Linked DNA regions of Rattus norvegicus. The protein of the gene in region 1 interacts with the protein of each later gene in a biochemical or structural test. Links are inferred from orthologs where the notes say so. Each region holds a gene or a part of one and is shown in the gene's direction. Other genes may lie near its edges.

Region 1 (3,867 bases):
TGGAGGGTGATTCAATCTCTGGGAGCCCCCAAGGGTCTAGGTTAGTGGACTCTGTTGGTCTTTCCTGTGGTCGGTCTCTCTCTCTCTCTCTCTCTCTCTCTCTCTCTCTCTCTCTCTCTCTCTCTCTGTGTGTGTGTGTGTACATACGTGTACACACCATGTGTTGTACCTGAGGAAGCCATAAAAGGGCATGATTTGGTATTAAAATTACAGGCAGTTATAAGCTGCCCAGTATGAATTCTGGGAACTGAACTCTGGTCTTCTAGGAGAGCAACAGGTGTTCTTAACTGCTAAACCATCTCTTTAGTAACCCTTTAGCGGATAATACTTAAGATTACAAAAATAAGGACAGGGATATACATGGGTTTTACTTTTTCTGGCTAGCATAAACAAGCCCCTGGATTCAATCTCTGATAAGACAAAAAAATTTAATAATATGTCTGAATTGACATATAGGACAGTGGCAATCATAGCATTAGTAAACTGAGAAGAACCTTGGACTGTGATGGGAGTCTAGAACTGACATGATGGTTCTACCATTAGTTTCTAGTTGAGTTTGTATTTGTTTCCCTCCGGGGAGTCATTTGATCTCATTGGCCCTTGGCTTCTTGTTTGTAAAGGGGCGATGATTAGATAGTCTTGCCTTCCTTCCATTCTGTTGGCTGGGCTCTTATGGATAGGCATGTTTCGAATTAGAATAAAGCCAATTTGTTTTATGTTTATTAACTTTTCAAATTGAGATAATTGCTTTTTGCTAAAGTGAAATCTTACCATTCATGTTTCTATTTTAGGTAAGAACTGCTGAAAAAACACCATCAGTAACTAAAAAAATCGGTAAATATGTTTATTAAAAATCTGTTTAGTTTTGTGGCCAGTTTATTATAGTTTGTTTAATGAGGCTGCTATAAATTTAAGAATTTAATTAAGTGCTTATAATTTTATACCAGACATTTTTGTAGTGAGTACATTAATAGAAAGCCAGGTGCTAGAGCGCTTGCCTAGGAAGCGCAAGGCCCTGGGTTCGGTCCCCAGCTCCGAAAAAAAGAACCAAAAAAAGAAGAAAAAAAAAAAAAAAAAAAAAAAAAAAAGAAAGCCAGGTGCTATGGTGCAAATCTATAATCCGAGCACTGAGGATGTTGAAGCAGGAGAATCCGGAACCTGTGGTCAGTCTGGGTTGCATGGCATGGTTTTAAGAAAGGAAGGAACGGAGGGAGGAAAATGTATTAAAGCAACAAAGGTATTAAAAGTTTAGATTTTAATTTTTCATTCATTTATTTATTTTATATGTATGGGTGTTTAGCCTTCATATATGTGTGCCTAGTTGCCCCAGAAGCCAGGAGAGGTATCAGATCCCCTGGAACTGAAGTTAAAGGTGGTTGTGAGCCACCATGTGAGTGCTGGGAACTGAATTCAGGTCCTCTGGGAGAGCAAGTGTTCTTAGCCTCTGAGCCATCTCAGTAGTCTATCTACTGTGTAGGCCGGACTGGCCTGGACCTCTCTCTTTCTGCCTCAGTCTCTTAAGTGCTGGGATTGAGGGAGTGTACCCCCATATACAGCTAAAGCTGATAGTGTGCTGGCAGCCGAGCCCAGTGAATGCCAAGTACTCTGAGCTGCAGCCTCAGTAGTGTTCCTACAGTTCCCTTGAAGAAACAAAGAGGTGATGTGATCTGCCTACTGCCGTGTTATCATTTTGTTTTGTTTCGTTTTGTTTTGTTTTTAGAGATAGGGTTTCTCTGTGTACTCTGGCTATAATGAATTTGCTTTATACACCAGGCTAGCCTCAAACTCACAGAGATCTGCCTGCCTCTGTCTCCCAATTAAAGGTATATACTATTATAAATTAGTAATAGAACTAGCATTATAAACAAGGTCTTCTAAATCACATAGCATATTGTAGATGTAATTTTTAGTGGGGTTATGTATGGTGTTTTGGTGGTAGTGGTGTGGAACAAAGTGTTTCATTGTATCTCAACTGTCCTAGAACTCACTTTGAAGATCAGGCTGGTCTCAAATTCCCAAATACCTTCCTGCCTCTGCCTTCAGAGTGTTAAAATTAAAGGTGTACACCATAACACCTGACACTGGAGTTCTTTTGGAGTTTCGATTTATTTGTCTTTTGTGGGGTTTGTTGATTGTTTTTAAGATCTGCTTTTTCAATTGAAGTGGTATGTTTCAAAGAAAGCTTAATTTAGAGTATCTGATGAGTCCCTGTTCCCTAATGTTGTAACATCATCTGTTTTGTGTGTCAAGGATTAGAAAGCAGGAGAATACTACAGGTATTTATAAATATGCTCGAAATGCGGGGCTATGTTGAATTATTTGGAATGGATTTGGTAACAGGCATAAATAACAAAGTTAAAGAAAGAATTTTCCCTAGCATACTTTTTGTGGTTTCTCAAGACAGGGTTTCCTGGATGTATTTGAACTTTCTCTGTAGACCAGGCAAGGCTAGAACTCAAAGATCTGCCTGTCCCTGCCTCCTGAGTGCTGGGAATAATGGCGTGCACCACCGCTTTTCTTCTTAACTTTGGGGATCAAAACCACAACACCACATATAGTAGGCAAACACTACCACTGAACTCTTCAGCTATCTTAAGTCCCTTAACTGTTTTACTGTTCAGTCATGTTAATGAAAATACTTGTATTATGTTCTTTCTCCACCCAACTTTGATTTCAGATGATACCATCTTCCAGAATCCTATGGTGCAAGAAGCTATACGAATGGGATTCAACTTCAAGGACATCAAGAAAACAATGGAAGAAAAGCTCCAAACATCTGGGAGCAACTATCTATCACTTGAGGTTCTGATTGCAGATCTTGTGAGTGCTCAGAAAGATAATTCGCAGGATGAGTCAAGTCAGACTTCATTGCAGAAAGGTATACATTGCTTGTTTCTGTCGGGAAAATCACCTTGCAGCCCATTCATTTCCTCTCTAATATCCCCATGGCATTAACACTTTGACTCTTTTATTATGGTAAACTTGAAACACAAACAGAAGTGGAAAGAAGAATGGGTTCGCTTCAATAATAAGCAACTTTTTTGTCATCTTAAGTCCCATCTTCTCTCTTTTTGGCCATAGTAAATGTCTATTTTGACATATATTCAACATAGAAGGGTATTTGTACATGTGCCCTTAATGCTGCTTCCTCAGGCTACTATAAGAAAATTCCACAGAACTGGGAAAGTCCAAAAGTAGATCCCCTGCAGATAGTTGACTTCCCAAAGTAGTGTGTATTTCATGCTAAAAATTCCCCCAAGAGTTCTCATGCTTATGACTTGATCAAACCTAATTGTATTCATGCATTGCTTAACAATGAATATATGTGTTGAGACATGGGTTGTTACATAATCTCATCATTGAATGAACGTCATCACTTATACTTACACAAACATAGATGGCATGTGTCCCAACCACTTGTTGTGGCCTCTTATCAAGTTTTATTAACTATATGTTATGCTTTCATATAACTAGCAGCTTAGGAGGTTGATTCATACCAACATCCTCACAAACCCGTGATGCATTATGCTATGACATTAGAAACAATACATGTTCTCTGGTACCAAAGCATTGTCCACTAACACTTGACTCTTTCCCAAAGCCTTTCCTCTGAGCATCATTGTGGAAGGTTAAGCTTGCAGCATGTGAGCGTAAGGAACCCAAACATTCATTCCCTATCACTTTGTTATCACATTTGACAAAATGAACTCTCAACCTCATCAGAAAGCTAGTTGGTTTTTTTTTTCTTCTTTTCGGAGCTGGGGACCGAACCCAGGGCCTTGCGCTTCCTAGGCAAGCGCTCTACCACTGAGCTAAATCCCCAACCCCCAGCAAGTTGGTTTTAATACCCCTTGTTGTTTTCAGTGC
Region 2 (3,867 bases), on another chromosome or scaffold:
GGATCTCAATAGGGTAGAGTAGAAACAGATGCTGGTAAGATTAAAAACCAGTAGTGAGGACAAAACTGAAGTCTTGCTTCTGGACAATATCACCTTGCCTTAAAAAACTCAACTCTGACTGTTGAGAACAAAGATGTCTTAGATTCTTAGTTCATGTGAAAAAGATCTGAAACCTAATTTGGTAAACTTTACATCAATGTTTTTCTGTGAGTGATTAATCTCAAGCCATGTATATACAATTAGAATATTTGTGAGAGAGACCATTTTAAAAATAAAAGTCACCGGGCAATTTTGTTAGGTAGAAAAGTCAGTCTTTTCCATAGTTGACTCTCTTAGTAACCGATACTCTCTTCAGAGCATGTCTGGTGATGATGCTAAGATCTGTTACTGCTCCTGTTAGAAGTTACTACTTGGCAAGAGGCCTGGGGGACATCCATTTGGATTCAGCTGTACGATAGACTATGACGGGTTTCCTTCATGTACAGATTCTTCACTCTTGGAGTGAGGCACACAATGCTTGTTTATTCTTGTCTCATGAATATATTTAAGCATTAGTAAAAGACTGTCTTTCAAACTAGAGTTAGTAAGTAGTAAATTAAAATTCCCTGAGCACCAGTAAGTTTACATGTAATATTTTTAAAGTTAACCTATATTTTAAATACATTTAACTTACACTGGGATTATCTTTTTGCAACAGTTGCACAGTATCCTTTTGAAGACCATAACCCACCACAGCTAGAACTTATCAAACCCTTTTGTGAAGATCTTGACCAATGGCTAAGTGAAGACGACAATCATGTTGCAGCAATTCACTGTAAAGCTGGGAAAGGACGGACTGGTGTAATGATTTGTGCATATTTATTGCATCGGGGCAAGTTTTTAAAGGCACAAGAGGCCCTGGATTTTTATGGGGAAGTAAGGACCAGAGATAAAAAGGTAAGCTGTTTATTTTTCACCCCCTTTCCTCTGTGGACCAAGTTTGACTCTACTTACAGTGCATGTGTGACACTTGGAGAAATGTTACATTGTGGTTACATAGTTGTATCTATCTACTTAGTGTATCAGTCATCCCTGGAGTCTCAGCCCTCTTCCTTAGCTGTACTGAGAACATCCAAGACCTACCTGGGGTAGCTAGGCACACAGGATTATGTGCTGTTGATTCTTTCTGCTAATCTGTGTGCTGTAGGTGTCTAAGTCTCATTTTTCTTGTCTAATAGAACTTTTTTGTACATCTCTCCATTTATTGAGCTAATACCTATTTTTTCAAATCATCCTTTTGTTTTGATGAGATAGGATCTCCCCATAGAGTTGAGGCTGGAGGGCTTTATAGTGCCACCATTCCAGAAAACAGAAATGTGCCCAACACTTTGAAAGCTTGTATCCGTTCATTTAGTTTTTCTCTTCCTGTTGCTGTATTTTGACAACACCAGCAGACTTACCTGCTAACTATACTGGATCTTTATAGAGTTTAATTAAATAAAAGTACATATTAATAAAAATTATCATGATATTTGAGAGGTGTACTTGGAAACAAAATGCATTTTGGTGACAACTTGAATGCCATTACCTAGTAAGCATGGTTTTTAATTTGATGTTAAATAAAGTCATTTTCTAATGGGGGTACTCACTGATAACCAATCAAAGAGCTATTGGTTATTCAGAAAACTAAAGACTTGAAAGCGAGCGATGTGTTTTGCCTGGCACACGTCAATAGTACAATTGAAAACAAAAGCAAATTCTTGTAGTGCTTTTTCAGAGGACCCATTTTGTTAGATAGGAAATTGAAAAGTATTTAATACAAAGAATCTTTGCATGTTTCTTTTTCTCCAAGGACAGTGCCTATATTCAGATAAATTGAAAAGCTTAGGATAGAAGTAAATGTGGCCCAATACAAGATCATAAACTTATTAATCATTGAGTTGTTTTGCAATCTTTTTATAGAAGTTGTAAGTGACAACATCCGTTTGCAGTGTCAAGGGTTGGACATGGCTGCTCTGGGGAGTAAGACGCTTTGGAATTTGATTCTAGTCTTAAATTTGTATTTGTGCCCTACCCCCTCCTCTCTTTCCTTTTGCCTCCACCCCCTTCTGTCTTCCCCTCTTCTACTCTGTTCCTTTTCCTCTTCTTTAGAGGTGGCCATGCACATCATGCTAAGGTCTATGGTTGCAGTGGTCCTGGGTCCTGCACTTCTTTTACAACTGCCGTTTTTAAATCCTGTCTTTGTAACTTCTTTGAGTTTGAATAAGGATATCAAAGGGCTATTTATTGATGGGAGTTCACAAAAAATTACATCTTTAATGCAGTAAAAAAGTCATGAGCTAGAAAATCAGATTTAAGCTAGAGATTCCTCAACTCTGACTCCTGACGAAATGTGTAAATGTTCTGTTATTCAACATGTGTGTAGTTTATATATAACTATAAATTGTCATTGGTAGCTTCCATTTGCCCATTTTTCCCATTTAAGAAATGAGTACCCCTTACCTGAGAACAGCAGGTATCTATATGGGTTGGTTCTGTTCAGTAGTGAGATTTATGAGAGGACGGCTTTTAAACAACGCTCAAAACAGGTAGAAAGCTTGTTGTTATTTGGCTCGTCTTCCTTGCTCTCCAGAGTGCTCTTACCCTAGTACTGGTGAAAATAAGTTATGAAAACTCTTATCACGTATGAAAGAAATGTGGAACATACACAGTTTTTTGACCAATTAAAGTAGGCTTTGTCAGATAAAATCTCTTAAGACTAGACATGGGCATGTATTAGTTTCTTTGTCTTCAAGATCATTAACTGTGGGGCAGGAAAAGACTATGGTCCCTTTTAGTTTTCAGGTTGAAGCGTTAACCAACAGAACAGCATTGTCTGGCCAGACGACCTGTGTGCAGTGAAGAGCTTCATAGTTGCTCCTGTCTTTTACAAAGCCTCTCGAGAAGCTCTTGATTGTGAATGTCTTGGCTCTCATGAATTTGGGTTTTTCATAGCAGCAGGTTTTTTTGTGACAGGTCTTGCATAGTCCATGATTTGAGACTTGTGTTCATCAGTAGGGGTACTTTTCACAACCATAGAAAATAGTCTCTTAGGACTAATGTAATTTGTGCTAACCAGTGTGGCAGTGAGTGGCCAGGGCAGAGAGGTCATCCACCTTTACTAGTGCAGGAAAAACCAGAGGAGCTGTAGGAGAAGCAGCTACAGAGTATGGAGGGTTCTTGGGGACAGGGAGTGTTCTTAGCCATTTTTATTGAACTTCTTTACAGTAAGACATTTTAATACAATTTTTGAGACTATAGTAAATTATATTATGAGTATATTATATATGTATGTATGTAATACAACCTATGGTATGTTTTTAGGGCTTACCATTTGGTGTTAGATAACCAATTGGTCACCAGCAGATTTTCATCTAGGGTTGAGGCCTGGTCAGCTTTCTCACATCCTAGCACATCTCTTGTCCTCCTCACTCAGCTCATGTTTGGTAGTCATGTTGATGGACTTTATGGGGTAGCCTCTGACATTCCAAGTAGACAGTTGCACAGCAAACTCGGATCCTCTGCCTCTTACAGTCTCTCCAACCCTTCTATAATGATCCCCGAGCCATCGGTGCAGGAGTTGTGTTGTGGATGTTTCTGTTGGAACTCCACAACCCTGCCTTTTGAACTGTTGTGGTTTTCTGCAACGTTCTCCGTGCTACAAAGAGAAATTTCCTTGATGAGGGTAAGCACTACACTTATCTGTTGGTAGAGAGATAAATTTAGAGTATAGTTATGGATTGTGTTGGTTTAGTAAATTAGTGGTTGTAGGTTCTCTTCCAAGATCCATGGCTTCCCTAGCCCCAGGTAGTTGGCTAGGTTTCCAGTACCGGGCACAGTTTCTCTTTT
Region 3 (4,422 bases), on another chromosome or scaffold:
ATTCAGGAAACAGAGACAACAGGAAAAAACGTTAGTTCAAGATCCACCTCGACTACATGCTGAGTTTGGACTACAGAGATGGATTCTATCTGGAAGAAAGCAAGCCAGAAAAACAGCAGATATACAAAAATAATCAGCCTAGAGTAGGATAGCTGAGAAAACAGTAATGAACAGTTCTAGAGTGATTTGTCTTGGGTCTCAAAATGGGCTAGCCGGCAAGGAATGTAGAACTGTGCCATGCTGGGTGGTGCAAACGCTGTCAGTCAGCAAAGAGCCTTTATAAGAGCAGAACATAGTCCTAACCTGTTCCGGTCATGTTTTTCAACAGCGACTCTGGCTTCTGGTTTCCTAGATGACAGCCAAAGTCACTGGCCCATCCTGAGCTATTATTTTCTTCTGCCTCCCAAGCACTGTGGTTGGATGCAAGCTCACTGAACAAGTTAATCAAGAAGCACAGTGCCACTTCTGCTGGTCTCTAGATCGCAGTCGTAAGCCCTACCTATACCAACGTCAACCTCGGACCCTAGAACTACACGGTTGCTCACGTCTGTTACACAACAGAAATTTAAGGAACAAGGGTCTCGATGTGTTGCCTAGGGTGTCCCTGAACGCCTGTTCTCTCTCTCTTTTTTAAAGATTTATTTTTATTATATATGAGTACACTGTAGCTGTCTTCAGACATACCAGAAGAGGGCATCAGATCTTATTACAGATGGTTGTGAGCCACCATGTGGTTGCTGGGATTTGAACTCAGGACCTCTGGAAGAGCAGTTGGTGCTCTTAACCACTGAGCCATCTCTCCAGCCCTTAACGCCTGTTCTCAAGCCAACTTGATACCTCAAGCCTCCAGAACAATTCGAGTTTTTTTTTTTTTTGTTTTGTTTTTTTGTTTTGTTTTTTTTTGGTTCTTTTTTTCGGAGCTGGGGACCGAACCCAGGGCCTTGCGCTTGCTAGGCAAGCGCTCTACCACTGAGCTAAATCCCCAACCCACAATTCGAGTTTTAAACTAGTTCCCATCAATCTGAATCTGGGATTGCGGTGGGATTAAAGGGGAGCTTGCTTCTGCACCCTTAGGCAACGTTCCTTACAACGTCCAGGTTCTGCCTTTGCTGAGCCCTCAAGAGGGCAAGGATCCAGTCTAACCTGGTAACCTGGTCCCGCTGAGATCCGCATAAGTGCAATATTGAATAGAACCACCAAGAGCCAAACAGCCACTACCTGCCTGGTTCAAAAATGGTTGCAAGCACTGCTTCCTACTCTCCTGGGTGCGCATCCCAGGAAGTACCCGATGGACCGCCAAATAGTCACCTCCACAAACGGAAATACCCGAGCTTAACCGAAGAAAACCGAACCTCAAACTACAACGAGGAGCAAGCAGGGGGGTGGGGTGGGGGCGCTGCAAGAGTTGCGCAGGCGCAGAGCGCAGCCGAGCCAGGAAAAACCGAAGCGGACAGACGACGGAAAGTGCCGAAGCGGCGGGGTGCCCGAGGCCGTTGCCGACCTCCGCATCGAAGCCGCGCCTGCCGCGGAAGCTGAGCCTCCACCGGTACCCTGCGGTACCCTGCCGCCGCAAGCGCGGCTGCCGCCTCCTCCTTCCACCTCACCGCAGCCTCCTAGCAAAGGGAGCAAGTAGGCGGGAGAGCGGCGGACCGGTAAAGGCCGGCGTCCGCAGCCGCAGCGGGGACTCACAAGACCCGAGCGGAAGAGGGGGAGGAGGGCGCGGGGGCCGTAGCAGGGGCGGGGCCGAGGATAGCCGAGTCCTCCCGAGCACTTCCGAACACACCCGAGGTGCTAAGCCAGGCCAGAGCCGGACTACGGGAGCCGAGGCGGGCCGTGCGGTGGGCGCGGAGCAGCGCGGCAGGCCGGGCGGGCGGCAGCGGAGGAGGCCGCGGTAGCGGGTCCGAGGAGCGGAAGCGGCGCAGGCGGCGGCGGGGGGCCGGGTGGCCGGGGTCCCGGGCCCCGCGGCGGCTGCGGCGGCGGCGGCGGCGGCAGGATGATCAAGCTGTTCTCGCTGAAGCAGCAGAAGAAGGAGGAGGAGTCGGCCGGCGGCACCAAGGGCAGCAGCAAGAAGGCGTCGGCGGCGCAGCTGCGGATTCAGAAGGGTAGGGGTCGGGACCCTGCGTTCGAGGTCAGGGACCGTGGCGTGAAATTGCCACCGCTGATATTTGGTATCGAGGGTCAGAGTTCGAGGGTTGTGATACGGGACGGGGTGGGGGGGTGCGGTCACTAGGGAGGGTCAGAGATTGGGGCCGAGTATGGGGCGTTGGGATATTTGGGCCTGGAGTGTTAGGGACCCGGAATCTGTTAGGGGAGGGGTATAGTTTGGAGAGTCAGAGGGGAACTTTGCTCTGGGGTGACGGGCCGTGAAGATTGTGAAGGTTACGAATTGGGGATAAGTAGGAGACGGTTTAGTGTTTTATACTGGGGCTGGTGGTCCAGGACTCAAGTCCAGGGGTTTAGGCAGAGTGGTTTTGAGTTTGAGGTGAAGGGGGGTAGAGAAAATGACAGGAACTTTAAAAAAAAAAAAAAAAAAAGGAGTTTGGGTCAATTTAAGCTACCATGCTAGAAATCTCAAGGATCAGATGGGAACGTGGAGTAATCCGGAGAAGAGGGAGGACAGTGGAGGCTGGATACTTGATGGGAAGGTTGAACTTAGTGTTGTGGGGGGAGGTGTCATGGTCCTTGAATAGTGGTGAACTGGTAAACAGTCGTGAATGGAGATAGTGACTAGAAATAGAGAACCTCAGGTTTAAGGTACTCAGGGGTTCTTGGAAGTAAGGGTTATGGGAGTAAAGGTTCTTGGGGACTATGTTGTGGGAACTTGCGGAGGACTTGGGGTTGGGGGATAAAGGCTTGCCCTTTCCCAAGAGATGGGCATCCAGTTACACTTGAAGATGCTTGTATGTGGGATACCGTGTATCCAGAAGAGTAGAGACTGAAAAGTGGAAAGAGTAGTTAGTCCTATGGAGTGAGTTAAAGCACAGCACACAAAGAGCACCTCAGGTCCAGGAGACCTTGGGGGTTCTACTGACACATGTCCAGACCTACCTCCTTTCTTCTACCTGTTTTCTCTCCCTCTCCCTGCTGTGCAAACCTAGACATTAACGAGCTGAACCTGCCCAAGACGTGTGACATCAGCTTCTCAGACCCAGACGACCTCCTCAACTTCAAACTGGTTATCTGTCCTGATGAAGTAAGAGTAAAACATGGCAGGATTCCCAAGAACAGTCCAGGGGTGGCCCCCTAAGAGCAGGATCTTTATGCATTCTTCCCCCTTCCTCTTCCAGGGCTTCTACAAGAGCGGCAAGTTTGTGTTCAGCTTTAAGGTGAGTTTCAAGTGTACAAAGGTGGCTCTGTGGAGAAGACTGGGGCATAGCCAAAACACCCTCCCATCTCATTTCTCTTTTTTCTGGAGCCAGGTGGGACAGGGTTACCCACATGACCCTCCCAAGGTGAAGTGTGAAACAATGGTTTATCATCCCAACATTGACCTCGAGGGCAACGTCTGCCTCAACATCCTCAGGTGAGGGCACTGCCTTCCTTTCCCTCCCAAGGCTTGCCTTCTAGGAATCCTCTCAGCCTTTGTGGATGCTGCATCCATCTCTGTCCTTGCCTTTATGGTCAGTCTGGGTTTCTGTCTTCCTTTTCAAGTTGTTTTTCTAGTGACCTGACCTTGGCTTTCTCCATGACCTGCCCTGTTCCACATCTTCCCCCTCACTCTTCAATGTTAATGGCCCTTCTATGGGCCTGACCTGTTTCGTGTTAGCAGGGCCTGTGGCAACCTCCCACTCACCAGCCCCTGATAACCTTGATGCTCTCTGCCCACAGAGAGGACTGGAAGCCAGTCCTTACGATAAACTCCATAATTTATGGCCTGCAGTATCTCTTCTTGGTAAGTAGGCATAGACATTTGAGGCTGAGGGCTTGTTGGCCATCTCTGCCTCTCTTGCCTGTTGACTTCCACTTGTACTGGCCACAGGAGCCCAACCCCGAGGACCCACTGAACAAGGAGGCTGCCGAGGTCCTGCAGAACAATCGGCGGCTGTTTGAACAAAACGTGCAGCGCTCCATGAGAGGTGGTTACATCGGGTCCACCTACTTCGAGCGCTGCCTGAAATAGGGTTAGCAATTACCCATCCCTGCCAGGGTTACTGGCCCAGGCATCCCCTGCAAATATTTATTGGGGGCCCAGGTAGGGTGTGTGGGGTAGCCTTGGCCCCTGCCTTGGCCTTGCCTCTCCTCCCTGTCACCTGCCCCTAGTTATTTTTTTTGACCACCACGTGATTATGGTCGGTGCTGCCTCCCCCGACCTGCTCAGCGATGGGAAATGAATTGGCTTGTTTAGCGCCCCCCCTCCCGCTGGGTGCTGTCCAACCCCCCACTCTTGACTGTGGGGTAAGTGGGCAATGGGCCTGGGTCACC
Region 4 (4,335 bases), on another chromosome or scaffold:
TTTAAGAACATGTGTGTTGGGGACCCGAACTGATCTTGTGCATGTATGACGAGAATGTTTGACGAGAATGTATGATGAGAATGTTTGATGAGAATGTTTGACGAGAATGTTTCCCTTTGAGCCTTTCCTGGATCTTCCCTTTGAATGTTTGAGACATGTCCTCACTGTGCAGCCCAAGCTAGCCTGAAACTTGTAATCCTCTTACTTCTGTCTCCCGAGTGCTAGGATTATAGTCATGTGCCACAATGTCCCTGTTATTCAGTTATTGATAGCTATTAACTAATGATAAATAATTAAATAATTTGAACGGTTCAGTAATTTTCAGTCAGTAGAAGTAGAGAGGATTCAGCAGGTCAGACGTCTTAGTGCATAGTAGGTCTTCTCAAACACCCTTTTCTCTGAGGTGGGAATGGTGCTGGGAACTGCTGTGGCTAACCCCTGTGTCACTAGATCATGGGCTGGAACAGCCCCACGGAAGGTTTAGCAGCTGTCCTCAGTTTTGCTTTAGAATATTTACTGTGAGGGTGGGGCAGCTTGTTCTGCAAATGCTCTTCTCCTGGGCCCTGCCCTTTCTTTATCACTGCTCACTGTTCCTCAAGAGCTCAGCGGTCTGTTTACCAGTTGGCAACTCTTGTAGACCTGGAAGAAATCACAGGTGCATAGCTAAGTGTCAGGTCTCCTGCTCCTAAATATGACATGCCATACGATTTCCCAGACTCTCGGGATCCCTACCCTACCCTGTGCCTCCCCTAACTCCTTATTTTAACTTTTGCTCCAAAGCCAGAGAGCTCAGCTCAGTGAGTTGTTCTCAAAGTGTGGCAGCAGTAGCAATGTTGTCAGAAAGGCAGGCTGGAGCCCCACCCCTGAATGGGTGGCCTTCTCCCCACTCCCCTCTTTCTCTCTCTGTCTCAGTGCTGGTCTTGAACTCTGGATTCTCCTGTTTGCACTTCCCAAGTGCTGGGGTTAGGTGTGTGAACTGTGGCAGATAAATCTCTCTTCCTCCCATCTCCTGCCTTTCTTCCTCCTCTCTTTCTCCCCTCCCTCTCTCCCCAACTTCCCTTAACTTTACTTCTTGCTTTTTGGGGTTCAAATAGAGGTCCTTATGTGTACTAAACATCTGTCCTAGCACTAGACTACATCTCTAGGAGTCTTCCTATTTAACAGATGCCCAGATAGGTTATACACATGTTGATTGAAGCAAGAATTCCTGCTGTAAGCCTCCAACAGCCCGACATCCACCCTCGCTGGCTTCCATCCATTTATATCTAATAACTGCTAATAATTACAGTGACAGCAGCTGGTACTCAGGAACATTTATTATGTCCCAGGACCCGAGTGTTTTTACAGAGTTGTTTGAGGAGTCTTATGACATGACCCAGTCCTTGTTTTTACGGGAAAGCAGCTGTGTTGAGCTACACTGAGGTCACTGGCAAGAAAATGAATTTTCAGCACTGAATCCCGCTTTACTTGGAAGTTGTGAGACACCACCGGCAAAGGCCACTTATTCTGTGTGAGCCTACTTCCTCATATTCAGTGCACAGCAGGCCCCGAGCCCCAGCCCGGTTTCTTTCTTGTTCCGTTTCCCTGCTCACGGCTGCTGAGTTATTGTCTTTCTCTGCAGAGTCTGAGTCATCGCCTGCTACTGCCCTTGTTCCTCAGGATTTCTCGCATGCAGCTTTATCCTTCCTTCTCTTCACAGTCCACTGTATTACCTTTCCACCCCGCCCCACCTTTGGTGCTGGCCATTGAGCTAAGGGCCAGGTATATGCTAAACATACCTTTTACCACTCAGCTATGCCCCTGACCCTTCACGTTCTTCAAAATCCACCTATCTTGGGAACCACTCATTGTTCTTTTATTCTTGAGCTCCCCATTTTCCTTAAATGGCATCTCCTGGATTTTATCTTTATTCAATTGACCAGCTTGTCTGTATTTATTGCTCTTTGCTTTTGGAGTTGGATTTTGTACCTAGAACACCAGTTTCTCAACCCTTTCGGGGGTGGGGGGGCAAACGGCCTTTCACGGGTCTCCTAAGACCATTGGAAAACAGATATTTCCATTATGATTCATAACTAGCGAAATTACAGTTAGAAAGTAGCAACAAAAATAATGTTATGGTTGGGGTCACCACAACCTGAGGAACTGTATTGAAGGGTCACAGCGTCAGGACAGTTGAGAGCCACTGATCTGGAATATATATTCTATGTGAGGGCAGTGTGTTGAAGACTGAATACAGCTATAGCCTCGAGTCAGAGCTGTAAACATCTGGACTTGGAAGCTTGAGTGGCTTTTGCTTTACTGGGACCATAACATCTGGGACACACAGCAGCTCGTCACAGTGCAGTTCCAGAAACTGGGATGGGCTGTCCAGGCAGACTCATCAAAGCACAACTTCCTGGGAAAACACTGGGCTTGGCACTGTTGCTGGTGTATCTAGTAATGTGGGAGGCTAACACAGGCCAGAGACAAAGAGACATTAGATGCTAAAGTGTCCATTCCAAACACAACCCAACGCTTGAAAGGACTTAGCTTCCTATAGACATTAGTATTACTGGAAACACAGGATCATTCTCCTCCAGCTGGCTTCATAGCACATCCTTAATAGTCTTTGCACCTAGAAGGGTCCAGGCTGGTCCTGCCTTCTTGGATTATTTTTCCAGTGGTCAGCAAAATAGTAGGAGAGTATGGGGGTAGGGAAGAATCAGACAGACAGACAGACAGACAGATTGACTCCAAATGGGGATGAGTAGGACTCTTCTTATGCTTTCCTTATCTCCTCTTGTTTTTTTGTAGTGTAGCCCTGGCCGTCCTGGAGCTCACTCTGTAGACCAGGTTAGCCTTGAACTCGAGAGATTCACCTGCCTCTGCCTCCTGAATGCTGGGTTTAAAGGTGTGCGTCACTGCTCCTGGCTTCATCATCTTTTCTTTCTCCTTCTCAGCTCGGGGTTGAGAGACCATGATGTAATTGTCAGCATAAACGGGCAGCCTGTCACGACCACAACCGATGTCATTGAAGCTGTTAAGGACAATGCCTTTCTCTCCATCATTGTTCTTCGAGGAAGCCAAACCTTGTTTCTGACAGTCACACCTGAAATAATCAATTAAGCACCTTACTTTGAGAAACTGCCTAGCAAAACCAGTTATATTACCTGGTTTCTATCGAAGACGAACCAGAGATGGCAGGTTCTTCTGGGTATCAAGAAAAGTGGATGCTTTAAATGTATAAGTACATGTGTGTGTGATACACACACTCGTGCACATGTGTACACACGTGTATACACACACACACACACACACACACACACACACACACACACACATTCTCATGGATCCTGAGGGATTAAGCATGCTCTTCTACTACAAAAACTTTCGTGACTCAAGTGGCCGCAGCTATGGTGATCAGAGAAAAAGTAAAGACAGTAAGAATGGGAAAACAGGAGACTCCTAACTAAATCTTCACAGGGTGCTTTACTTACCGTCTATATAGCCACTAACTGATATGTCACACACATGTACAAACAATCTACCTACTAGATCTGAATCTGGAGTAAAGAGGCAATCATGTTTTAAATAACACCCCTCTGTATGCTGAATTTCCCGGGGTATATCCACTTTGGGCCAGGGTTTGTGGATAGAAAGGTCGTCAACTCTAAGATAGATTACAACTGATGACGTCAGACCACCACACAGGAATATGACCATTTTAGCGGTAGAAACTATCCTGGACCTCTGGTGTTTCTGAGAATGTCTTCTATTAAAACAATTTTTTGAACCATTTACAGACTTTTCACTTAGGTTCTTTCTTTTAATGAAGCTTGTGTACGCTTGGGAAATTTTACCTAGTAAGCTGTGGTAGGGCTTGCCAAGGGCTTAAGTAGTTTATTTTGGGCAACATTTTTATCTTAGTTTACTATCTTCCGGGGTCGAGAGGGTGCTGGGATCAAACTAGAGACCAGTGCATAGTAGGCAAAGGTCTCCTTAAATCGCATGTGAAGCCTGATGTGTGTATTTTCAAGGAGGTTGAGTTTCTTCACCATTAATCTAAAGAGATTGCCTAAGTGTGTAGGAATTATGAGTTGAGCCTTCCAACTGTTACTGTCATAAGCGGGGTTGAGGTTTCTGTGGTTCTTGAACGTGTTGTTGTCATCTCTAGTAACGTGAGGACAGTGATGTCACCTGGGATGCGGAGGCAGACTTTTCCAGGTCTTACTGTACCGGAACTGTTGGTCTCTGTCAGTTACTGTGGGGATGAACGTGGAGTAGGTCTACCCTGTGTCTAGAACCTGTGGCTAATGCAGAACAGGCCTCTTGGTCTGTCTGCCATTTATGTTATAC
Region 5 (3,867 bases), on another chromosome or scaffold:
CCTAGGCAAGCGCTCTACCACTGAGCTAAATCCCCAACCCCCTAAGCTTGATTCTTATCTGTGTAGTTCTGTTTCTTCGGATGTCCAGGCCGACCTGCTGCAGGCTGTAGCCACCTCTCTTGCCTGTCCTTCACAGTTATCCCTGAAGATTCAAAGATAGGATTTCCAGCCAGCCCCAGGCCCCAAAGGAATGGTACTGTCCTGGTGGGCCTCCCCCAGTGTGGCCAGCACTCATCAGCAGCCAGACTCTGCCCCACCCTGCCTCGATGGCTGAGGTCATTCTTGGCAGAGCTTGCTGGCAGGGACTGTTGGCGCCCACCCAGGATAAACATGTCACACTGAGCTTGCTGCGTGCCATTGGATGCCGAGTGGGTCTGCGTAGGGAATGCCATAGGCCCCGGCCTCAGGTGACCTTAAAGTGAAAGGGTCATAGCCAGTGTGGAACTGTGTCTGGAAAGGTGACACACCCTGGCTTGTCACAGCACAGTTGCTGGAATCCTTCAATGGATTTTCAGGGATTTGAAAACTAGTAAACAGCCGAGTAGGCTCTTTCCAGAGAACCGTTCAGGCTCCTAATTCATCGTTATCCTAAATCACCATCATAACAGACCAGTGCGATTGGTGGGCTCTCTTATCCCACTTCTCAGGCGAGGCGTCCGTGCTTGTCATGCAGAGTTTCAGTTTGGCAGCCTGTGCCACAGATGGCTGGTGCCCTGTGGGGTGTGTGGTATCTGAGAGTAGAGGTGCGGCTTCTCAGGCTCCTGGCTGGTGAGAGCTTGTGCTGTGTCTTCCGACATGTTTTCGTAGGCAGTGCTAGTCTTACTGGCCATGTGCATGCGTGCATGAGTGCATGTGTGCGTGCAGGGAGTGTGTGTGTTTCAAATCTGTATCATGGTGCTGTGGGGTAAGTGAGTACAGTGAAATCTCTGTTGTATCTCAGGTCACCCAGGGTCTGGGGCCTCCCTTATCTGCTAGTCAATTGTCCGAGCTCATCAGCAGTTCCATTTCTCTTTGCAGAGAGGATGATAAAGTCTCTTGTCTGGGCTACCCATCCCACCATCCCACCTCCACCCACTGGATTTTTTTTTTTTTTTGTAGCTTATCCTTTCTCAAATTGAATGACTATAAAGAGTTCCCTTAGCAGGCATCCAGGACTAACTTTTTTTTTTTTTTTTTTTTTTTTTTTTTTGTATTCCATGAGCAATGCATAGAAAATTCAGGAATTCTGGGCAATGTGGGAAGAAGAAAGCAGGATCTGGGGCCATCTCAGTGGAAGAAGGCAGCCTCCAGTCATTTTCCCCAGCCCTTTAACCTCCATGGTCCTATCTTGTTATGAGGAGTTATTTAGGGCTTCGGACTCTGCCCAGTATCAGGAGGGAGTGGGACATAGGACGTGGGACATAGGATGTCTTCAGCTGAATCCTCAGTCTGCATCGGCTGGGGGCAGATGCAGTGATAGGGATTTTCCCAGTGTGCACAGGAGAGACAGTCCGCCATTGGGTCCTGGGTGCTGCCAGCCTTTGCTTGTCCTTGTGCCTTACCACCACTGGGCTGCACAAGAAAGTCAGTGCGAGTTTCTGCCTCAGGGCTCCCCACATCCCAGGCCTCAGGAAGGTTATTCATGTGGGAGAGTAGACCCATGGTTCCTTGCTTCCCCTAAGGCACACGGACTCAGGATCCCTGTCTGGGACTTTGATCTTTAAGCCTTAAACCAAAGTTGTCTCCTCTTGTCCTCTCTCCAGCTGCACAGATCGTTCCAAAATGTGAGGCCTAGAAACTGTCTATCACCTTTTCCCATTTTTCCCTGGTACAAGCGCTTCCATTTCATTGACTCGCTAAGGGCCTGTGTGTGGATTATGGCAGGGGCTTGGCCCTCAGGAGAGGAGTGTCCACCCCAAGCTCAGTCCCTAGGGACTGCTCTTCGCTCTCTGTATTTGAATTGTGCAGCAATGACTCCCTTTGTGCTTACAGGGTAAGCTGCCAGTCCTGCTGCTTGGCCGCTCCTCCGAGCTGCGGCCAGGAGAATTTGTGGTTGCCATCGGAAGCCCCTTCTCTCTTCAAAACACGGTCACCACTGGGATCGTCAGCACCACCCAGCGAGGCGGCAAAGAACTGGGGCTCCGGAACTCCGATATGGACTACATTCAGACAGACGCCATCATCAATGTGAGCCCTCTGCTCCCTCTGCCTGCTGGGCTGGGGACGAGTTTTTCCCAGAGGAAGTTGGGCTTCTTCCTATTCCCAAACCGTCTCACAGACTGCATGAATTCCCAGAACATCTGAGATGTTCTGGTGTTAGGCATTAGGTGTTAATGTTCCTCTCGGAGCTGTTCAGAGTTGAACTATGGGGTCCTGAAGCCAGTGGGTGGCCAGTCTCATCGGAGGAGGAGGTAAAAGTGGGGTTAGCTGCTTACCGTGGTCTCAGAACTAAACCATTTCACTATGGCACACCCCAAGCTTCGTGAAAAGTGGTCAAGGTCCTTTTCTTCAGTTAAAATTAGGTGATCCTAGACAAAGCCTAGGGAAGCCCAGCCTGCTGGCTGCTTCATCAGCGCTTTGAAATCTGGGTAGAGACATTGATTAGGTGTTGGTATGACACAGAGCCAACCTTTGCCTTCTGTTTCGTTTCAGTATGGAAACTCCGGAGGCCCGTTAGTAAACCTGGTAAGGCTCTCCAGTACCTACGCCGTGTTTCTTTCTTCTGTGGGCACACCTTTGCTTTCCCCTTGCATGTGAGCTTGTCAGAACAAGCAGTCAGTTGATAGCCATGTGAGCGTTTCTTTGCACCTTTCCCCACCAGCCCTTTCCGGAAGCAGTAAGGTCAGAGGACACGTTGGTGTTTCAAGCCATGGGTGGATGCTAAGGAGCTCAAACCCAGTCTAGGCAGAAAGGGGACTGAAAGTCCACATGGCACTGCCAGCTGCAGAAAGTTACCTTCAGCCCTGAGGGCGACTGAGTGGAGACGAGCTGGCCTGGCTCGTGCCCATGCCAAAACTCTCCCTGAATGCCTGTGGGTATGACGGGGAGCCACCTGTTTGCTCACAGATGTCTCACTCAACCGAGACTTCAGTATAAAGCTGAAGGCTTCAGGTCATAGAATGCCAGAGCTTGGGGGTTGTTTGAGAGAGTATAAGTTGAGGCTACCCAATAGTATGTCCTCCTGGGTCCCCTGGGTGTCAGGAGCTGATATGTACAGAGCACATCAGGAACAATTTATACTGAAAGTTTACAGAGTCCTTTTTGTCAGCACAGCATCGGGCCACCAGAAACTTCTTAGGGAAGAGCCACATCTTTAACTTGCTCCAGCCATACCCTGGGGCAGATGCTGGGAGTAAGGCCTGTGGCTCAAGCCAGCATCTACGGTCATTGGAAATAGGGGAGGAAGGGAGGGTGGATAGTCACCTTAGCAATTCAGAGATTCTGGAAACATCCTTCCTATGAAAAGAGAAGATAGGGTGGACTTTGATATATGCAATATATGCAATAAGACAACTATTAGCTTCCACTGAGGCTTCTTTGTTCCATCCACACCTGAGCGTGGGTGGCACTACCCAGGTGCCCCAACAAATGTCTCTCCTTTTATCCCTGACCCTTCTCTTTCCAGCCCTCCTGATTCTCAGACACAGCCCAAATACTGCTCTCCCCCATGTGCCTGTATATATGAGTATTTGCATGCATGTGGCCCCAAGTGTGTGTGTGTGTGTGTGTGTGTGTGTGTGTGTGTGTGTGTGTGCGCGCACTGGAGGGGGAGGGTGTTGCCTGTGCACATGTGTGTATTTGTGGAGGCCCTGTGGAGGCCCGGGGTTGATGAGGGGCTGTCTTCATTCCCTTTTCTCCTTATTCAGTGAGGCAGGGTCTCTCAGTTGA
Region 6 (2,815 bases), on another chromosome or scaffold:
CTCCTAGCAGCCTTGTGATGTCTGAAGGCCTGCAGCAACGCCTCCTCTCTAATCCTTGACAGTGACGATGTCAGTTCACCGACATTGACACCTATCCATCTCTTCCTCGTGATCACACTGGCTGATGATTGGTTCACTTTATTAATTTCAGAAGAATGGCTTTTGATTCATTTATTTCTTTGCTGGGTTATTTTGTGTCTCATTGACTCATAGTTTCATCTTCTGCTTCCTTTGAGTTTCACGTGGCCACCTTTTTCTTGTTTCTAAGAGGAATCTGAGGCCACTGGTCTGAGACTTTCCTCTTAAATTAAAAAATATATATATTATCGGGGCTGGAGAGATGACACAGCAGTTAGGAGCAGTTATTGGCCTTACAGAGAGCCTGGGTTCAGTTCCCAGCACCCCCATATGTCAGCTCTAAATCTAGTTCCAGAGGGTCTGACGCCCTCTTCTGGTCTCCATGGGCACTGCAAATATGTGGTGCACATACATACAGACAAAATACTTGCATACATAAAATAAAAATAAATAAATCTCTTTAAAATTTTATTATTTTACTCTGGGGGAGGGGGTTGTGTCATGCCATTCATGTGGAGGCTTACAGGTCAACTTTGTGGAGTAGGATCTTTCTCCACCTTTATGTGGGTTCTGGGGATCAGGCTCAAGTCACCAGGTTTGTACCACAAACATTCTCACCTGCTGAGCCCTCTCACCTGCCTGAGTCCTTTTTTTCTGACATGGGTGCTAACTTGTGTTCTTTGCTTCTGAGAACAGCCTCTGTGCCCTGAAAGCCTCGGTTAGGAATATGTTCGTTTATGTAGTTGAAACAACCTTCTCATTTCTCCTTTTGCTTTCCTCTCTGAGGATGGCTTGTTCTTGTGTACTTCCTGGGCATCTGGATTTCAGAGACTCTTGGTGTTATTGATTGCTGGTTTAAACCCACCATGCTCAGGGAATCTTAGTGAAATGAAAAACCAAAATGTGTCAAGCCCTGCTTTGTGTTGAGAACCTGTCCCCATGGTTTCACCGCCAAAGCAGCCAGGGGTGGGCTGCTGGTTCCAGGCTGTTGAGTCTCCTCTGGGTTCCCTTCTCAAGGGCAGTGACCATGTAGCCTAACTGAGCCACTGTGTTCCGTTTCCAGACTGGAAGAAGCGCTTCATTGGCATCCGGATGCGGACCATCACGCCAAGGTGAATGACGCTCCCCTGTCCTCCCATGAACCCCTTCCACATACTGACTACTGTGTCCAGCTGCTGGCAGGTGCTAGAGAGGTCAGACCCACCACCACTGCCTGATGGATTCCTTCTGACTCTATTCAGACAACCCTCCTCCAGGGAGCCTCTGGAATTGCTTCCTGGGTTTCTTACAATAATGAATTAAAACTAGGTGGCTTAGAACAACCAAAACATACTACTTGAGAGTTCTGGAGGCCAGAGACTGACATCAAGTGCCCACAGGTCTCACACTCTGAGATTCCAGTCTTATTTCTTCTTGTGTCTCCTGACTCCTCCTGGCTATGGTCACCCCTCAGCAGGCTGCATTAGCCCCCGTCGCTCCCCTTCTCCACAGGCCTCCTCCAGCCTGTGTCTGAGCCCCACGCTGCCAGTCACTGGATATGAGAGCTGCCCAAGTCCATGACTTCATCTCAAGATCCCTGACCAACTAGAGTGGCAAAGACCTTATTTTCAAACATGGTTATATTCTGAGATCCTAGTGGATATTTCCCCATCTCCACGGGCCACTCATGTAAGACAGCCTCCCCCCCCCCCGTTTGCACACCCTTTAGCACAGAGGTGACCCACAGTGTTGTAATGGCTGTCAGGGGTCCTTTCTGCCTGCCGATCATCTTGACTGTGAGTTCCAGGGAGCTGGCTGTGTCCCCACTCACCTCTTGGCTCTGGCTCTGGTAGAGGTTCCGAACAGAGCAGCTGCCTGGAAAGACAGGATGAAAGTGACAATGAAGGGGGTGGACAGGAGGGAGGAAGGAGGGAAGGAAAGTCCAACCCAGGGTTATGAAGGAAGTTACTACATGGTGAAGCTCTGGGGATAACTCAGAGATATTGACCAACCAACCCGATTCCCTCTTCTGTCAATCTAAGGAGCAAAATTTAAACAATCTGCAGTTAGGACCAGTGTGCCAACTCATCTTTAAGTCGTGTGCTTCCCCAACCATTCATCTATCCACTGGCCATCTTTCCAGTCTTCTCAGTCCATTCAGTGACTGAACCATTCTCCATTTCTCCACCCAATACCTCTGTCCAGCCACCCACCCATCTGTCCTTCTTCAGCCACCCTTTATAGTCTGTCCTCCCAATCTAGCTGCCCCATCTCCACACTTGTAGCCAGTCGTGGCTACTAAGCAGTTCCATCTCATGGGGCTCAGGGCTCTCTGAGAACTCACAAGAGGTTGTTTGTCTAGCTTGGGTGGTGGCAGGAAGGGGCAGCCACATGCCAGGGAGCTGGGCTGCAGGCTGAGAGGCTGACACAGGACTGTCTTTCCAGTTTGGTGGAGGAACTGAAGACTGCCAACCCAGATTTTCCAGCAGTGAGCAGTGGAATATATGTTCAAGAGGTCGTTCCCAACTCACCTTCTCAGAGGTATGTTCCACAGGCAGAGGCAGGGTTGCTGGCAGTCATACATGGGGGAGGGGAGGGTGTGCTGGGGCCTGGACTGGGCTTCCTCAATGACCTTATGTGACCTCAAGTCTCCTGGCAAGGAGTTGTGGAGTCTGGTCGCTCCTCTGAACCACGGGATGAACTGTCTCTCAGATCACTGGCCACGCCTGTCCTTGGCGCAGAGGGATCTTCTCTTTGA
Region 7 (4,510 bases), on another chromosome or scaffold:
GCCTCTGTTGGGGGTCAAGCTGTGAGATCCCTAACACATGTCCACAGCTGTCAGCAAGGAATAACTATTATCGGGAATATGTCAGGGATAATAACATGGCTAGCTGGGACAACACCGTAAGTGGCTAGCACGATGCTCAATTATTTTTTAAAAATGATTTATTTACTTAATGTATATAGGAATCTTCATGCACACCAAAAGAGGGAATCACCTTCCATTATAGATGGCTGTGAGCCACCATGTGGTTGCTGGGATATGAATTCAGGACCTCTGGAAGAGCAGCCAGTGCTCTTAACCACTGAACCATCTCTCCAGCCTTGTTCAGTTACTTTTTAAGTCGTGGAAATGAGTGGTACAAAACTGAGAGAACAGAGGACTAGATTCCTGGCAGTTTCTATGTGGGAGGTGCTGAGGAGGGAAAGAGAAGAGAGCGAGATGGAAGTCTGTGGGCTTAGTTTGCTGAGGCAGGATAGCCTGAAAAAGCAGGAGGCGAGGTTTTACTAGCCGCAACGGAGGAGGGCGTTAGAAGAAAGCCACAGCCCGCAAAGGACTTGAAAGACGTCTAGACATGGTTTCTTCCTTTTCCTCTCGCGACCCTTTGAGCATCTGTAGAAATAGGGTCACCAGTGAACTTTGTTAGAACAATCGCTGCTAAGCGGAACCAGCAAATGGGCGGAAGGTAGCAAGGCAAACCTGGGGTTTGGAACCCTAGGGGCGCCCTGGGGGAGAGTGTGGGAGGAGAAGGCCGCATGGAAAGTCACGTGGGTCGCATGGGGGGCGGAGCAACGTTACGTTTGGCCGCTGTTAGAGGCGGGCGAGAGCTGGGCGAGGGAGGGGCGTGAGGAGAGAGCGCTGCAGGGAAAGAGGTGGGGTGAGGCCTGAGTGCCGGACTAGGAGAGAGTTGGAATAGCAAGATGGGGGCGGGTCCTGGAGGCGGGGACAAAGGCAAAAGCAGAGAAGGGGGCGGGCCACGGGGCGGAGCGAAGGAACTCCATAGGGCCGGAGTGCTGGTCTATGAGGCAAGGAAGAGCGAGTCTTATATGAGGCGTGTGACGGGGCGGGGCTTGCGTGCAGCGCCAGCAGGCGGAACGAAGCAAGGACATCTTGGGGCGTGGCGAAGGGGCGTGGCCTGAGAGCGCGGGGGGTGGGGGTGGGGGGAAGGGGGGACGTGGGGGGAGTGAGAGAGGTGGGAGGACTGGTGAAGCGGTGACGGGGCCTTCGGAGCTGAGGTGGCTGCGGAGGTGGAGCCGAGTGAGCTTGAGGGACCGGCCTTGGGGCGGTGACCACTGGTCGGAGCGTGATCCCTAGAGGAGCTATGTGGGGGCGGGGCGTGGGTGCCGGGGCGGGACCCGAGGCCCGGAAGCGGACGGAACCAGGGGTCCAGCAATCCGCTAGCCATGGAGGAGGCTGACCGGCAACTCCTGCGGCGATGCAGGGTACGCCTTGTGCGCGAACTGCAAGTCGCGGAGCTGTGGGACGCTCTGCTGAGTCGTGAGCTCTTCACGCGCGACATGATCGAGGATATTCAGGTGCTCCCCCGCTCCCTTGTGTCCGCCGCTTTTCCCACGGCGCCGGTAGGGACTGGGAGGTCGCAGAGAGGTTCACTGAAGCCACCGCTACGGAGCTCCCGCCCTTTTCTCCCGCTTTGCACGGTGTGCAACCCAGGCCCTGGGAAACCATGGTGTGGGAACTCCATTTTTAAAACCTTCCACAATCCAGCTCTTTTAATCCTTCAGAAGAACCCAAGCACCTCTTTTGTGGAGTGCTCGCTAATGCCACTGTAACCCACACCTTGTTAGTAGTTTAGCCTCTCTGTAGAAGGGTCCTAAACACCCACTTTAGGTTTATACTGGCTCATTGTACTTGTCACTTGCCGTCTTTGAGCCTCAGTTTCCTGGGCTGTGAAATGCAACGGTGTCATCCTGTTCTAGGATGAATGAGATAACCAAGGTGAAGCACTTCTGTGGGGCCACAGCCCCAGGACCCATGTCTTTTTTTTTAGCTGGGCTTTTATCCAAGTGCATGCTTTATAAAGGATTTCAGAAAAGACGGACATTGATACAGGTACCACCGAAGAATACAATCAAACATTTGATTTTTAAAAAAAATACATTTGAGCTTCTTTGCTCCAGTTGATGCCTCACTGCAAGTCTGAAAAGGGAATATTTCTTTTTGAGAGGATATGAGTGTCAGGCCCTGGGGAACTGTCTAGAAAGCTGTCTCCAGCATCTGGATTGGAACCTAGTCTGGTCTAGTGAAGGAAAATAGAAGAAAGTGGTGTAGAGTCATGGGGTTAACTACCAGATAATAACAAAAGTAGTCTCAGGAACACTTTCGGAGGGGCCCATGCTGGCCAAGGAAAGTGGTTTGAAGGGAAAGCCCTAGTCTTCCAGAAGGCATATTAAGGAGGATCAGAAGCCGAACTGTGCAGGGAGGCACCAGCGGCCTCTGTCGTATTTCCTTCTCCAGCTAAGTGTGGTCAGAGCAGTGTCCGACCTAGTGTTGGCAGTGGCAGGCTGTTTGAAAGGAATGGTTTGTTCCTCTGGAATCCCAGCCCTCAGGAGGTAGAGGCAGGAGGATCAGGTGTTGGAGGGGATCCTTGGCTACATACAGAGTTTGAGATCGAGTCTCTGGAAACCAAAACCAAGGGCTGGAGAGCTGCCTCAGTTGTTAAGAGCTTTGATTTCAGTTTTCAGCACCCACATGGTGGCTCACAACTATAACTGTAGTCCCTGGGATCTGACACACTCTTCTGGCCTCCTTGGGCACCAGGCACACACAGTTGGCACATATACATCTAGATACACACACATATACCTACCTACCTACCTACATACATACATACATAGTAAATGTTTAAAAGCAAAACCAAAGCAAGAAGCTAGACATACAGTTTATTTGGTACAGTGCATGTCTAGTATTCGTGAATCCCTGAGTCTAACCCCTAGCCCTATAAAACCAGGCCTGGTGACTCTGGAGTCAGGAGAGGCAGAAGTTCAAAGGTCATCCTCAGCTATGAAGGAACTTGAAGGCCAATCTTGGCTACTTGAGAACTTTTCCTTCCCCCACACAAATATGAAAGTCCCCCCCCCCCAACAGAAACTTCTTTTCCTCCAAAAACAGAGATGTTGGAGATCTTGAATTCTACATTTAATTCTCTTATTTTAATGTTAGGAACAAGTTTAGAAAGTTTGAAGTACCTCGTCCAAACTACTGACCACCATTTTGCTACTTTTAGTAGGGCTAATTAGCACTTAGCACAGAGCTGGACAAACACACAGTAGGTGTCATTGACAAGCAAAGACTGCAGAGGGACATGAACTCAGTACACTGCTAGATTAGTTTCTGTCTATCTACCACAGGCATATTAAGGGGGATCAAAAGCCAAACTGCGCGGGGAGGCACCAGCAGCCTCTGTCCTTCTCCAGCTAAGTGTGGTCAGAGCAGTGTCGGACCTAGTATTGGGAATGGCAGACTGTTTGAAAGGAGAGACTTGTTCCAGGGGTGGTGGTACATACCTGCAGTCCCGGCACTCACAAGGTAGAGGCTAGGTGAGAAGCGGGAGGTAGGGTGACTGTAGATGTCACTGGATAATGAGTGTCTGGTTTTCTATCCAAACAGCGGGCAGGCTCTGGGTCTCGGCGGGATCAGGCCAGGCAGCTGGTCATAGATCTTGAGACTCGAGGGAGGCAGGCCCTTCCTCGCTTCATCTCCTGCTTAGAGGACACAGGCCAAGGCTCTCTGGCTTCATTCTTGCAAAGCAGTGGGCAAGCAGCCAAGCAGGATCCAGAAGCTGTTACACCCCTAGACCACCTGGTGCCTGTGGTCCTGGGACCAATGGGACTCAAATCAAAGGAGCAGAAAGTAGTGAAGCTGGACCCATCTCAGCCTGCCTTGGGAAACCTCACCCCAGTGGTGCTGGGGCCGGAAGAGCTCTGGCCTACTCGGCTCAGGCCAGAGGTTCTCACACCAGAAACACCCAGGCCGGTGGACATTGGTTCTGGCAGAGCTCATGATGTCTGTGAGTATCAAGAGAATGTTTGGCAGGTGGGTGCATTGAGGTTACTGGGGTGTGACTCTGGGTACTGCCCCGGTTGAGATTCAGGATTTAAATGTAACGTTTGTCTTAATGAACGCTCACAGGAGAGACGTGGACTCTTCCGATCAGTCTATAGGAGATGAAATTCTGACAGCCCATGTGAGAAGCAAGCGTCTGACTTGTATCCTCATTGTTACTCACAGTGTTTCCAGAAGGGGCCGTTGCTCAGGGATTGCCTTCGGGTTCTGGTGGGTGTCTGAAATTACCCACGCCCGAAAGGAGGTGAGGGGAAGCTGGCTGTCAGGACTCGGCCCTGCGCACACATATATTGCACGAAGCATACCCCTACCTCCCTCGGTCCTGCAAAGCAGATTTTGTTAGATTCAGCCCTGGCAGCGAGGAAGCAAAGCCCCGGGAAAGAGGAATGATTTGCCTAAGATGTCAAGGCAGCAGAATGTGGGGGAAATGCAA

What was found.
Region 2: of the proteins of Xiap (region 1) and Pten, one has a biochemical effect on the other in vitro, tested with the Homo sapiens proteins (2 studies listed by BioGRID). The link is inferred for Rattus norvegicus from reciprocal best matches to the Homo sapiens genes XIAP and PTEN.
Region 3: the proteins of Xiap (region 1) and Ube2m form a complex in vitro, tested with the Homo sapiens proteins (2 studies listed by BioGRID). The link is inferred for Rattus norvegicus from reciprocal best matches to the Homo sapiens genes XIAP and UBE2M.
Region 4: the proteins of Xiap (region 1) and Htra4 form a complex in vitro, tested with the Homo sapiens proteins (2 studies listed by BioGRID and IntAct, with this or other methods). The link is inferred for Rattus norvegicus from reciprocal best matches to the Homo sapiens genes XIAP and HTRA4.
Region 5: the proteins of Xiap (region 1) and Htra1 form a complex in vitro, tested with the Homo sapiens proteins (2 studies listed by BioGRID and IntAct, with this or other methods). The link is inferred for Rattus norvegicus from reciprocal best matches to the Homo sapiens genes XIAP and HTRA1.
Region 6: of the proteins of Xiap (region 1) and Htra3, one has a biochemical effect on the other in vitro, tested with the Homo sapiens proteins (3 studies listed by BioGRID and IntAct, with this or other methods). The link is inferred for Rattus norvegicus from reciprocal best matches to the Homo sapiens genes XIAP and HTRA3.
Region 7: the proteins of Xiap (region 1) and Casp9 form a complex in vitro, tested with the Homo sapiens proteins (12 studies listed by BioGRID and IntAct, with this or other methods). The link is inferred for Rattus norvegicus from reciprocal best matches to the Homo sapiens genes XIAP and CASP9.

What each region holds. Positions count from the first base shown.
Region 1 is NC_086039.1:125,790,854-125,794,720, forward strand, and holds part of Xiap (E3 ubiquitin-protein ligase XIAP), read left to right. Parts: intron 1-791; coding exon 792-834; intron 835-2,677; coding exon 2,678-2,878; intron 2,879-3,867.
Region 2 is NC_086019.1:240,085,193-240,089,059, forward strand, and holds part of Pten (phosphatidylinositol 3,4,5-trisphosphate 3-phosphatase and dual-specificity protein phosphatase PTEN), read left to right. Parts: intron 1-697; coding exon 698-936; intron 937-3,867. UniProt on the Homo sapiens protein: Dual-specificity protein phosphatase, dephosphorylating tyrosine-, serine- and threonine-phosphorylated proteins.
Region 3 is NC_086019.1:82,735,297-82,739,718, reverse strand, and holds the start of Ube2m (NEDD8-conjugating enzyme Ubc12), read left to right. Parts: upstream 1-1,420; 5' UTR 1,421-1,993; coding exon 1,994-2,102; intron 2,103-3,098; coding exon 3,099-3,193; intron 3,194-3,287; coding exon 3,288-3,326; intron 3,327-3,419; coding exon 3,420-3,523; intron 3,524-3,828; coding exon 3,829-3,892; intron 3,893-3,979; coding exon 3,980-4,120; 3' UTR 4,121-4,422.
Region 4 is NC_086034.1:73,713,946-73,718,280, forward strand, and holds the end of Htra4 (serine protease HTR4 precursor), read left to right. Parts: intron 1-2,939; coding exon 2,940-3,105; 3' UTR 3,106-3,777; downstream 3,778-4,335. UniProt on the Homo sapiens protein: Serine protease.
Region 5 is NC_086019.1:194,969,373-194,973,239, forward strand, and holds part of Htra1 (serine protease HTRA1 precursor), read left to right. Parts: intron 1-1,971; coding exon 1,972-2,166; intron 2,167-2,631; coding exon 2,632-2,664; intron 2,665-3,867. UniProt on the Homo sapiens protein: Serine protease with a variety of targets, including extracellular matrix proteins such as fibronectin. HTRA1-generated fibronectin fragments further induce synovial cells to up-regulate MMP1 and MMP3 production.
Region 6 is NC_086032.1:79,317,400-79,320,214, forward strand, and holds part of Htra3 (serine protease HTRA3 precursor), read left to right. Parts: exon of another isoform or gene 1-401; intron 402-1,141; coding exon 1,142-1,190; intron 1,191-2,502; coding exon 2,503-2,598; intron 2,599-2,815. UniProt on the Homo sapiens protein: Serine protease that cleaves beta-casein/CSN2 as well as several extracellular matrix (ECM) proteoglycans such as decorin/DCN, biglycan/BGN and fibronectin/FN1.
Region 7 is NC_086023.1:159,390,717-159,395,226, forward strand, and holds the start of Casp9 (caspase-9), read left to right. Parts: upstream 1-1,357; 5' UTR 1,358-1,397; coding exon 1,398-1,529; intron 1,530-3,621; coding exon 3,622-4,021; intron 4,022-4,510. UniProt on the Homo sapiens protein: Involved in the activation cascade of caspases responsible for apoptosis execution. Binding of caspase-9 to Apaf-1 leads to activation of the protease which then cleaves and activates effector caspases caspase-3 (CASP3) or caspase-7 (CASP7).